Linked DNA regions of Drosophila melanogaster. The protein of the gene in region 3 interacts with the protein of the main gene of each other region in a pairwise test. Each region holds a gene or a part of one and is shown on either strand. Other genes may lie near its edges.

Region 1 (3,298 bases), on a different chromosome or scaffold from region 3:
TAACTGGCACTGGGAGGCTGCCCTGGGTCATTGGTCACCGATTGACGTCACCCGGGCGTAAATAGTGTTGTTTGCTCCGGCACAAACACTTTCTCCCGCCCTCAGCAGCTCCCCTCTCTCCTGCCGCCCACTGCCCATCGAGTACTCTCTTTGCAAGGCGCAATTGGCGATGGTGCACTCGCAGTGATAGCCAACGAATCCCCCACCCACATTTCGCCCCCAAATCATTCTTGGCAACAATTATCGGAACGATTGCCGCTGTTAAATTCGTACCCAATTATCTGATTAAGATTGCACAATGGCTATTCTCGCAATCTTGCTGGATTTCGACCAGCTTTGGGGGCCACAAAGAAAGCGTGGCATTCATCTCGTATCGGTGGGCAATAAAAGTAAAGTAATAATCCAAAGTGGTGATCCACTTGTCCTAGACCTCTAAAAAAAAGAAATTTTCCACAGCTCGAGATGATTGTGAAGTCCACTCTAAGATTAGCGCAAAGATTGCTGATACTGGATTTAAATTTATGTTATGGTATCATCGATCTCTGCTTAAAGTTCTCCTGGCACCAATTTTAATATTACTTACACTGTAATGATCTTAATAATCTAGTTGTAGTTAAGGAAAACTTGTGGAAAGAAGTGATTATATGTGAAAATCTTTGATGTTTCCGTTAAAGGTTTTCTTGACGTATCGGCGGGGTTCGTCTTCTTCAAGGCAATCTATGTCCGAGTCCAGGCAGAAGGTTGTCATGTGCTCATCCGACTGGGTATTATCCGATGTGGTCACAGAGGGTGTCCTGGGCCGCAGGCCACGTGCCTGGTTGCTCCAGGGCTTCTCAACCCCCGTGGCGTGTGGCCACTCCTTGAGACCCTCCTCTTCGTGGTACTTTATGTAGGCGCGAAGTTCGGCGATCCGTTCCTTCTCCTTTTGGATCTGCTGGTTGAACTGCGCCTCCATCTTGCAGAAGCCCTTTAAGCGGCTCTCGTTCTTCTCGTGCTCCTGCATCTGGCGATAGAATCCCAGGTTGTCCGATGCCCGCTGGTCGGCCTGGAACTTGCTGATCTTGCGGTAGAGCTGCTGGAATCGAAGCGGATCCTCAAAGTATTGGGCCACGTTTGGAGGCAAGTTTTTGTCGATCGGAATCGCTCGCAGATCCCGTTTGCACAGTGGGCACTTCTTATCTGTCGAGGATTCGCTCAGACAGGAGGCGCAGAGGACGTGTTGGCACTGGGTCATGTGGAAGATCAACGTTGGCTCGACGTTGCGGCGTCGAAAGCATTTGTTGCAGTGGATTCGAAACATTCCAAAAACCAATTGTTTTTCTTTGTAAACTAAGAGTTTGTTGAACTTTAATCAGCTGCTTTGGAGCGTCTGTAATCTAACGGTTTTTATCCTTTTCAGTCTGGCCACTACGGTGGCTGCGCTTCTGGCAGCACTGTCCCCCAATTGAAATGCAGTGAAGACTCTTTATAATGAACTTATTTCTTTGAAAGGTGCAGGAAATACAGACTTCTTTGTTTTATTGTTTAGATTTGGCACCATAATTCCAAATTTGGCTTTCGATTCCAAAATTGAATAAATTTCTATTCTTAAGCGTATAAATGGTGGAATTTGTATACGAATTTGCTTTACAATCGAGTAGTCGTCTAATCAAGAAAAGGTTCCGTGACAAAATAATTAAGCGTAAACAGATTGGGGTATTTAAAAACTTGATGAGAGGAAAACGTGCTTTTTAACGTAATGCGACCGTAAAAGCGAACGCTGATGTTATTATTTGTGATTTACTCAGGCATCCGTCTGGTTTTGATAGTTGAAGTATGGTTTCAAGTTCACCTAAAGATTAAGAGCCCGTTAACCACTCCCTTTATTGTTCAAATAAATTAGAATTATATTTGGAATTATAAACAAGCCGTCAGAAGTTCGTCATATAGCATTTGAGAAACATATGTTAAAAAAAAAGATCGTTTTTACACAATAGCGAACAAATGTTTAGCCTCTGAACATGTCAGCTGATTTTCAATCAAATATAATGATATTATTGTATGTATAAAAGCCATACAAAGCGCGCTCAAAGTTCAGTTCTGCGCCATATTTTATGAACAACTAAACACTTATCAATAGCGGCACTACTCAAAAACATACACGACTTTCCATATAAAAATATATACCCGCTGATGACTGCGCTGGGCTAATGAACTCTGGCGAAGTTGGACTGTAGACCGCTCAAGTAGCCGAATAATAATCGAAGAGGTGTTGTATTGTTAATTGCGTGCTCCTGATTTGATTGCAGCACCACCCGCGTTGGTGCTACTTTATTTTATTTATTGATAATGATTGATTGTAACGCCATCCGAATCCATCCGATTACGATTGCAGGGCACCGGTAATCATCGCTAGCCTGTTTCCCAATCTGAATCTGAGCTACCGGACGAGCTACCTCAGCAAGATCAACACCATACGCAGCGATCTTCTGGTCACTTTGCGATCATCCAATGTAAGTTTCCCCGCTTATCAAGCACCCATCCTCCAATAAAGTTAACCCCACCACGTAGTACACGCCGTGACGCAATTGCAGGGAGTGTCTAGTATCGCAGATAAGCAAACATTTCCACTCAATGAATTGTAAATACCGTATCCGTATTGCAATTCAGTCAAAGTCCGCAGAGTGATTAATATATTTGCCAAAAAATTACCTTAAAAACATTTACTTGACATCAAAACATTGATTTTTAAATCTATTGATGTACAAATACAAATTACAAATACAATTTGTAACTAAATTTAAATGTTCAAAACAAACGTTTTTCTAAAAGTTTGCACTATTTTAAATTAAATACTCGTGGCGTTGCCACATCATCCTGCCAATCGATAACAATCCTGAAAGCTGAGAAGGACTTATCGGCCGTCGATTTCCTGCAAAAAAAGCCGGGCGCATGGGTAAATGCGTAAATTATAAATTTACAATTTGAAAGTGCTGTAGAACGGTAGAATCTCTTGGCTGGAATGCCCATGGAGGAGTTTCACGCTCGCGGCTGGTTCGAGGTACCAATTGACCCGCCTGCATGACGTCTATATGCATGCCAGTTGCATCACAATCACAGAATTGTTCCGATCGTTTCATTGCAGGAGCCCAAGACGCAGAATTCGGTGGCTCATGGCATTGGGACGCAGAATATGTTGGAGCTGACCCCGCATTCGGGTCAGAAGCCTTTTAAGAAGCTATTCGACTGGGGCGTGCTCTTCCCATATGTTGCCCAGGTGGTGCGCAGCGAGAAGTTCGAGTACCGACAGGTGGGTGAC
Region 2 (3,263 bases), on a different chromosome or scaffold from region 3:
AGGCCAATGCTCTGGCCAAGCTAAAAGCTCCCGATCCAGAGATCGAGCTGCAGAAGAAGATTCTTAGCATCATGAACAAGCCGGCAGTAACCGATGTCACCAGCGAGCTCATGTATCCCACTTTCGAGGCAGTCAAGGAGGACAGAAGGCTAATGGAGCTACTTGCTGACGATCGAGTGTTGGCGGCCCTGGAAAGTGTTTACAACTCGGATCTCAGACAGATTTTAGCCGAGTATTTATAGACTACCAATACTTAGTAGTATTCATTAATTTTAGCCATTAAGCATATTTAACATTTAATAAATGTAATACCTAATATATATGACGTAAATCTCGGGCTTCCAGAATGCATTTAATAAGTGTAAGACATTAACAACTAACAATTGGCTGTTTCTAAGGCCAGGATCGCTTGGCTTCGTGTCCCTCGTACTTTCCACGGTACTTGAGACCGGTGACTAGGGTGGAGCTCTTGGGGAAAGCCGTTTTGCCGTCGAATTTGGTATCTGTCTCGGGATGGAATCGCACGTACTCGTACTGGATGTGCAAATTCTCCGGCAGCTCGATGCGCTTCAGTGCATCAAACGGCACGGTGGTGTCCACAGCTGTTTGGTAGAAAGCGATAACATCGCTGACGGTGCGCAGTTCATGTACCTGGGAGTTGGGCACTCCGTGCTGCAGCTCCTGGAAGCACGCGTTCAGGAATTCGAATTTCTCGGAGAGATTCCCCAACTGGTCGGATTTCAGTTGAAGCGAGGCGGCTACGGTTCGAATACGTTCGGCGGCATCTGCAGGTGGGGAGTACGGCTTATGGGGACGCAAGAAGCTACAATCAGGAGAATATTTACTTGGTTTTTATGTAAATAAATTAAAGAAAGTGCTTACCCCTTGGCGGCGATGGACTCGCCGACAGCTGAAATGGTGCTGGTTTTGACGGGCTTTGCTTTTGCGGCCTTGGCGGCGGAGGCAAAACTCCTATGCAGGCTTCCCGCAAGCTAAATTCATGGTGGCATTGGATTTTAAGTGAACATTTTTATTATTTTTTACTTACAATTAGGGTTTTACGTAAAATCGCTGCCATTGGATGTGACCAGATTGAAAACAATGCGGCATGGCAGTCAATACTGAAAATATATTCACTATACTTACAGGTAAGGAGATGGTAACACAAAAATACTGCATTGAGCGTTGCCAGGTGGACTCACTGTTTACCCACTGTTAAATTTATAAACAAACTTAAAAAAAATGAAAACATTATGAGTATTGAGTTATTTTTAGTCGAAGATCTATCTCATAATAGTCTTTCTTGAAACAAATTTTAGTTTAAGCAACAATAAGTGATAGGATTTTATTTTAAAAATATATTACCTCATCAATTTCAATTTAAATCTAAATTCGACATAACTTTACGAACGATAACTTTATTAAATTGCGTGGCAGCTCTAAGCTTTTGTCGATAATAAGGTCCTGTTATTCAATTGATAAGTCCTGCTATCGCGCCAACTGTTATTTTTTTATAATTTTGCATTGAATAATAGTTTTAAACTACATTGGTGTTCTTTATGTAGTATAAAACAGTATGGACAGGACAACAGTTGTCCCGAGTCCGGCCTCCACCTACTGCTCCTTTATGGGTGGCTCCCAGCACTCCCCATTGCGGCGATCACAGCGCCTCATCGACAAGGAAAACCGGGATCTGCAGAAGATTCCGCCCAAAAGTCTTTCTCCTCAGTTATTTGGAAACACTGAAGATGATTACAGTGAACTATTGTTGCAGCAAGGGAAAGTGGTTCACCTGAAGCCTGCAGCTAAGTTGGTGCCCGTGAGATCCTCGGATAATCTAGTCCATCTTGGATCCCGGGATAAAGTTGTCCCCTTGAAAACTTCCAATAGAATCGTTCACCTGAAGCCTCCATATAAGATTATCCACCTCAAAAGTTTAGATGAAGTTGAAAAGACCGTAAAGAAGAAGAATAATATTCAGAAAGAAGTTCATCAAAGGAATTCACAAAGGAGAAGCATTCAATGCACTCCCAAAAAACGTGGTCGAAAACCAAAGCAACCGGCTAAGAAACTGCAGTCAAGAATTTCCACCGATCAGCTAGGAAGCACACCATCGCCATCCAAGCTGCCTGCCAAATATCCCGCCCATTTTGTTCATCAACTTCCGCCCGCTGAGGATTCCAGCTGTGCCACTCGAAGACGATCCTTATCTGCTCCAGCTATGCAACTTAGCGATCTAAGCCTCACACCCGATGAGATCCAAACTCCGGAGCGGCGCGGTGAAATCGTAAACAAATCGCCATCGGATCTCGACTCCGATGTCTCCTTGAACTTCTCGCTGTCCGATTCCATTGGCGAGATCTTCGGCACCAAGGACATCAGCAGCATTCTGACCATGCAGCGGCCGCGTCAGTACATTTTGCTGGAGGAGCATCTGCCCACACTGGCCACCATGTTGAACGTTGACTTGGAGCGACTGCGCTGCGTGCTGGATATCACTCAGGGCTTGAGCCACGAGCAAATCCTGCGCTTTCCGATAAAACATGAAGAGGATGAATTGGAAGTACCTTAGATATGATGGGGAACTTATAGCAGTAGTATAATGTTTTCACTTTGAATAGTTTTAATGTCCAAGTCCAACATATTTAATTCCCATAAGATCCTTGTTGCTTTAACTTAACATTTAAAATGTATATCTCCCTTTTTTTTTGTATATTTTTAAGTGGTATTTAATTGTTGTTGTTTTTTGTTGTTGTTGTTTCTTTTTCGTTATTTTGCCTTAGACTTTCAGAGTGCACAATTTTTGTTTAAACCATTTACTTTTTTGTATATTTTAAATTACTAATGCTAAACGTTATCTAGACTTTATCATACTTCATAATTGGTTTCCTTTCCTCCACGACAATACAGCAGCAATCGATCGGGGTTTTTTTTTGTATCTGTTACTAAGTTTTCTTTTTTGTTTACTGTGTTTCTCATTTAACGTATATACAACCGCGTGAATTTGGAGTTGCAGCTCCCTAGTAGTCGCTGTCGTAGCTTCCGTCCTGCTGCGCCTGCGTCGAGTCATCGGAACGCTCCGAAGTGGGCTCCAGATCAACGTCCAGGGCCGTAGTGTTGGCCGGACAGCAGCTGGGATGAGCCATTGAGTCGAAGGCATCTTTGATTTGATTGTTGGCACCTTTGGGATCTAGGTCGGTGGCCCAGCTGAAGTGCATCAGCGCCAGATCCATGTTGCCGAGCGTCTTGTGGATTTTGCCGAT
Region 3 (3,536 bases):
CGTGGACCAGCAGCAGAGCTGCACTGATGTCACCGGCGCCACGGAGACATCGAAGGCGACGCTAAAGAAGGCAGCGAATAGCACCGCCATTTCAACGCAAACGTCGCCGTCCGTAACGCCCATTTCACTGATCAACATGCGCTGGAAGGCCAAGAGCCGTGTCACCCACGAGGAGTTCATCAGCGACAGCGTCTCCTCCATACGCAACCTGTCGTCGTTCAGCAACAGCTCCATTCGTCGCTCCATTGGCCAACTGGGCGTGAATCCGTCCGAAACGATGGAGAAGGGCAAGGTCATACGCTCGACGTCCACACCACTGCACGTGGAGTCCGTGTTCGCCAAGCCCAAGGAGCCGATTACCTTCAATGCTTCCACTGGCGGCCACGTGTCCAGCATCTACCACGAGGAGCCCAGTCCGACACCCGAAAGCAATCCCGTCCAGCAGCAGCAGCAGCAGCAGCAGCCGTTGCAGCAGCGCGCCTGGAAAATGGGCGCCCGCAACAAGATGAGCGCCGCAACGCCGCTGCGCCAGGTCATGTCCAAGAGCATTCAGAAGGCCTTCGTCGAGCACGGCGGCATGATGGTCCACCAGCCACCATCCGCAGTGGTGCAACGTCGCGTGCGCCTCGATCTCAGCGAGCACAGTTCGCACGAGGCAGCAGGCTCGTCCGCTCTGGACCTGCGACTCTCGCCAGCTATGCGGCGCACCCAGAGCGAGTCCAGCGCCTCGGAGGTCAACAGCGGCAGCAGCTCCAGCTACAGCACCTCGCGGAATGCCGATCTATGCAAGCGGCAGTTCTTGCTGTCCGCACAGAAACTCACCACCGAGTCGATCATCATCACGCGGACGAACTCCAGCTCACAGAAGACCTCTTCCACGGTGTACAACTCATGCGAGAGCGTCGAGATCATACGCTCCACCTCGGAATCAGCGGAAGTGTGCCACGTGCCGGCCATAACGCCCATCCGTGTCACCGGTGCCGGCATCAACAAGAAGCAGATCAAGTTCGAGACGCCGCCCAAGAGCAGCCAACAGATGCGATCGAATGGCGAGGGCGATGAAACCAAGGACCAGTTTTTCACGCCGGAACCGGGAACGCCGGAAATTCCAGAGCGTCGTCATCGCCAGGCGATTGTGCCGCGCCAGCTGAGCGGCGAGTTTTCGCCCAAGAAGGATAAGCCGAAGGAGAAGGGGCTGGCGGTGATGGCCCTGATCTCGCCGCCATTGCAGCAACCCAGGGTGCGTCCTCCGTTGCGGGAATGCCGTCAGCAGAGGGTCTATAGCGGCGTGCAGGATGTGGGCGAGCCGGAGGTCGTGGACGCAGAAGAGGAGGACGAGGTGTTCCGCCCCACAAACGCCTCCACGTGCAACGACAAAAAGCTGGAGGCGCCCAACTCCGGTCGCCTGTGGTCGCTGATGAGTTCCATGATGCGACTGCCGGCCAGCTTGCGCGGCGAACGCGAAAAGGACAGGGACAGGGACAGGGATTCGGATAAGGAGAACGCTGGTTCGGGCTCACTCATCCGTCGCTGCGCCTCCATCGCTGGATCCCTGGTGCGCCCCAGTGCAAGGGACTCCTCCATGGAGGACCAGCAGTGCCTCAAGAGAAAGCGCACTCAGACGCTGGACAGCCAGTACTGTAGCCCGCTGTCGCCGTCCAGCTCCTCGAAGCGCTACCGCATCCGGCCCAGGGAGCCCATCGAGCGCATGCGTCGCCAGTAGGTTTTAAGCTTTTGCCTGCGAATCTGTGTTTTAATTGTGAAATTCTTCTTTTTTTTTATCGTTTAATAAATGTTTGGTCTTGCATTAACCGTTATGCGCAGCAGGAGTTGGCAGGTCCAGGAGCTTAGCTCGTCTCATTCAGAGCTGCCAACTCTATCTATTGATTCTGTTATTAATTAGTTGCGCACAAGATCGAAAAGCTTAACGGAGCGCCCATGGCGAAATCACAAGCAGGTCAGACTGTCGAGCCGGAGGCGTCCAAGCTGTGGATCCACTGCAACAGCTGCTGCGCCCTGTTCTGCGATAAGAAGCACACCTTCTTCCTGCTCGCCTGCCATCACGTGTTCTGCGAGCGGTGCGTCAAGGTCTCCGCCGGCCGCACGCCCAGCGACGCGCCCATATTCGAATGCTCCACCTGTCGGCGGAGCGTGCGCGGCCGCCAGTTGACCAACTCGATGCCCAACCACTTCAAGCAGCTCTTCCATCCGGAGCCCTTCACCATCGGCAACGACTTTGTGGAGACGTTCCAGCGCGGCAATCATCGGCACTTCGACAAGTACAAGGAGAGGAAGGAACTGGAGATGGATAAGCTGTTCAAGGACATCGAGGTGGCCAAGTCCGTGTGCCAGAAACGCTTCCTGGAGGCGCAGATGCTGCGCGTGGAGCGCAAGAAGCTGATGCAGAGGTCGCGCTACATTAAGGCGGAAGTCGCCAATCGGAAGGCGGAAATGCATCGGTGCGACATTTGGATTCCATTGAAAATAGTTCCCATTAATGCATTATATTTCTACCCGCCTTAGGATGGCCCAGGCCTACCGAAGCCGCTCGCTGACTTCGCAATCCTCGTCATCCGCCCAACGCTCGGCGCGCGGACGTCCTCGTGGCCGTGGAACAGCCACACAGTCCTCCAGTCGACGCCGATCAACGGAATCAGCAAAGCGGCAGCAAATCACCAGCTTCATACACCCGCCGAACAACTCGTTCGATCTGTGAGCTAGTGCTGATAGGTAAAGCTCTGTTTTACAACCGAGTATATATTTTTTGTAAATAATCAGCTTAAAACAATAAAATGGTGTCATAAGCTTTAAAATAATAAACTGCTAAGTTAACAGCGACCGTTAAGTTTCAATTAACAGTTTCGTTAGGATAACAGAAGTGTTGAAAGTGAATTCGATTAATCGAAATCCATCGATGACTGCTGCACCGATAATATCGCATAAGCATCTGCTCTAAAAACGCATAAAAATTGAATTGCAAGAAGTAGAAGAGCGAAACGTCATAAAAGCGGCAAATCCGGCGCTGTCCGACAAGAACCACAGGGGAAAGCGGATAAGGACATCATGATGAATAGCAAGATCGCCGAGGTAGTGGTGCTCAACTGCCGGACGTGCACGCGTGCCTGCAAGCTGCACAAGCCGCTGCAGGAGGAGATCGATCTGGGTTCGGAGGGCAGCACCACGCTGGCCAGCATGCTAAACTACTGCACGGGACTCTCGTTCGAGCCGCAAGACGGCGCCGCCATGCCGCAGCACATCTGCCTCCACTGCCTGCAGCTGCTGGAACAGGCGTTCAACTTCAAGCGCATGGTCATCGATTCGGACGAGCTGCTCCGCCTGGGCCTGGACGAGGCGCGCTGCTCCAGCTTTCACGAGAGTCAGACTCATAGCCCCAACCAGAGCCAGCAGCACGACCAGCAACAGCAGGCGTTCGACTCCACCGAGGAGTACGTCATGATCGAGATGCTCAACGAGGAGCAGGAGAACGTCGCCAATGTAAGTATCTATCACTTCACGGTGCAATGGAATGCAATGGT

Evidence for each region.
Region 1: the proteins of vilya (region 3) and nenya interact in a two-hybrid assay, tested with the Drosophila melanogaster proteins (2 studies listed by BioGRID).
Region 2: the proteins of vilya (region 3) and mei-P22 interact in a two-hybrid assay, tested with the Drosophila melanogaster proteins (one study listed by BioGRID).

Annotation. Positions count from the first base shown.
Region 1 is NT_033777.3:27,926,857-27,930,154, forward strand, and holds nenya (nenya), read right to left. Parts: upstream 1,319-3,298; 5' UTR 1,301-1,318; coding exon 641-1,300; 3' UTR 501-640; downstream 1-500. Other genes in the region: mino (minotaur), read left to right, coding at 2,375-2,492, 3,125-3,289. UniProt on the Drosophila melanogaster protein: Required for the formation of DNA double-strand breaks together with narya and vilya during the meiotic recombination process. Plays a redundant role with narya in chromosome segregation during female meiosis.
Region 2 is NT_037436.4:7,242,812-7,246,074, forward strand, and holds mei-P22 (meiotic P22), read left to right. Parts: upstream 1-1,576; coding exon 1,577-2,572; downstream 2,573-3,263. Other genes in the region: Neos (neosin), read left to right, coding at 1-242; mRpL50 (mitochondrial ribosomal protein L50), read right to left, coding at 394-823, 883-992, 1,049-1,078; Cdc27 (cell division cycle 27), read right to left, coding at 3,021-3,263. UniProt on the Drosophila melanogaster protein: Required for formation of the mei-W68-mediated double-strand breaks (DSBs) that initiate meiotic recombination.
Region 3 is NC_004354.4:2,724,769-2,728,304, forward strand, and holds vilya (vilya), read left to right. Parts: upstream 1-1,909; 5' UTR 1,910-1,938; coding exon 1,939-2,459; intron 2,460-2,523; coding exon 2,524-2,716; 3' UTR 2,717-2,800; downstream 2,801-3,536. Other genes in the region: fs(1)Ya (female sterile (1) young arrest), read left to right, coding at 1-1,723; dwg (deformed wings), read left to right, coding at 3,064-3,495. UniProt on the Drosophila melanogaster protein: Required for the formation of DNA double-strand breaks during meiosis together with narya and nenya.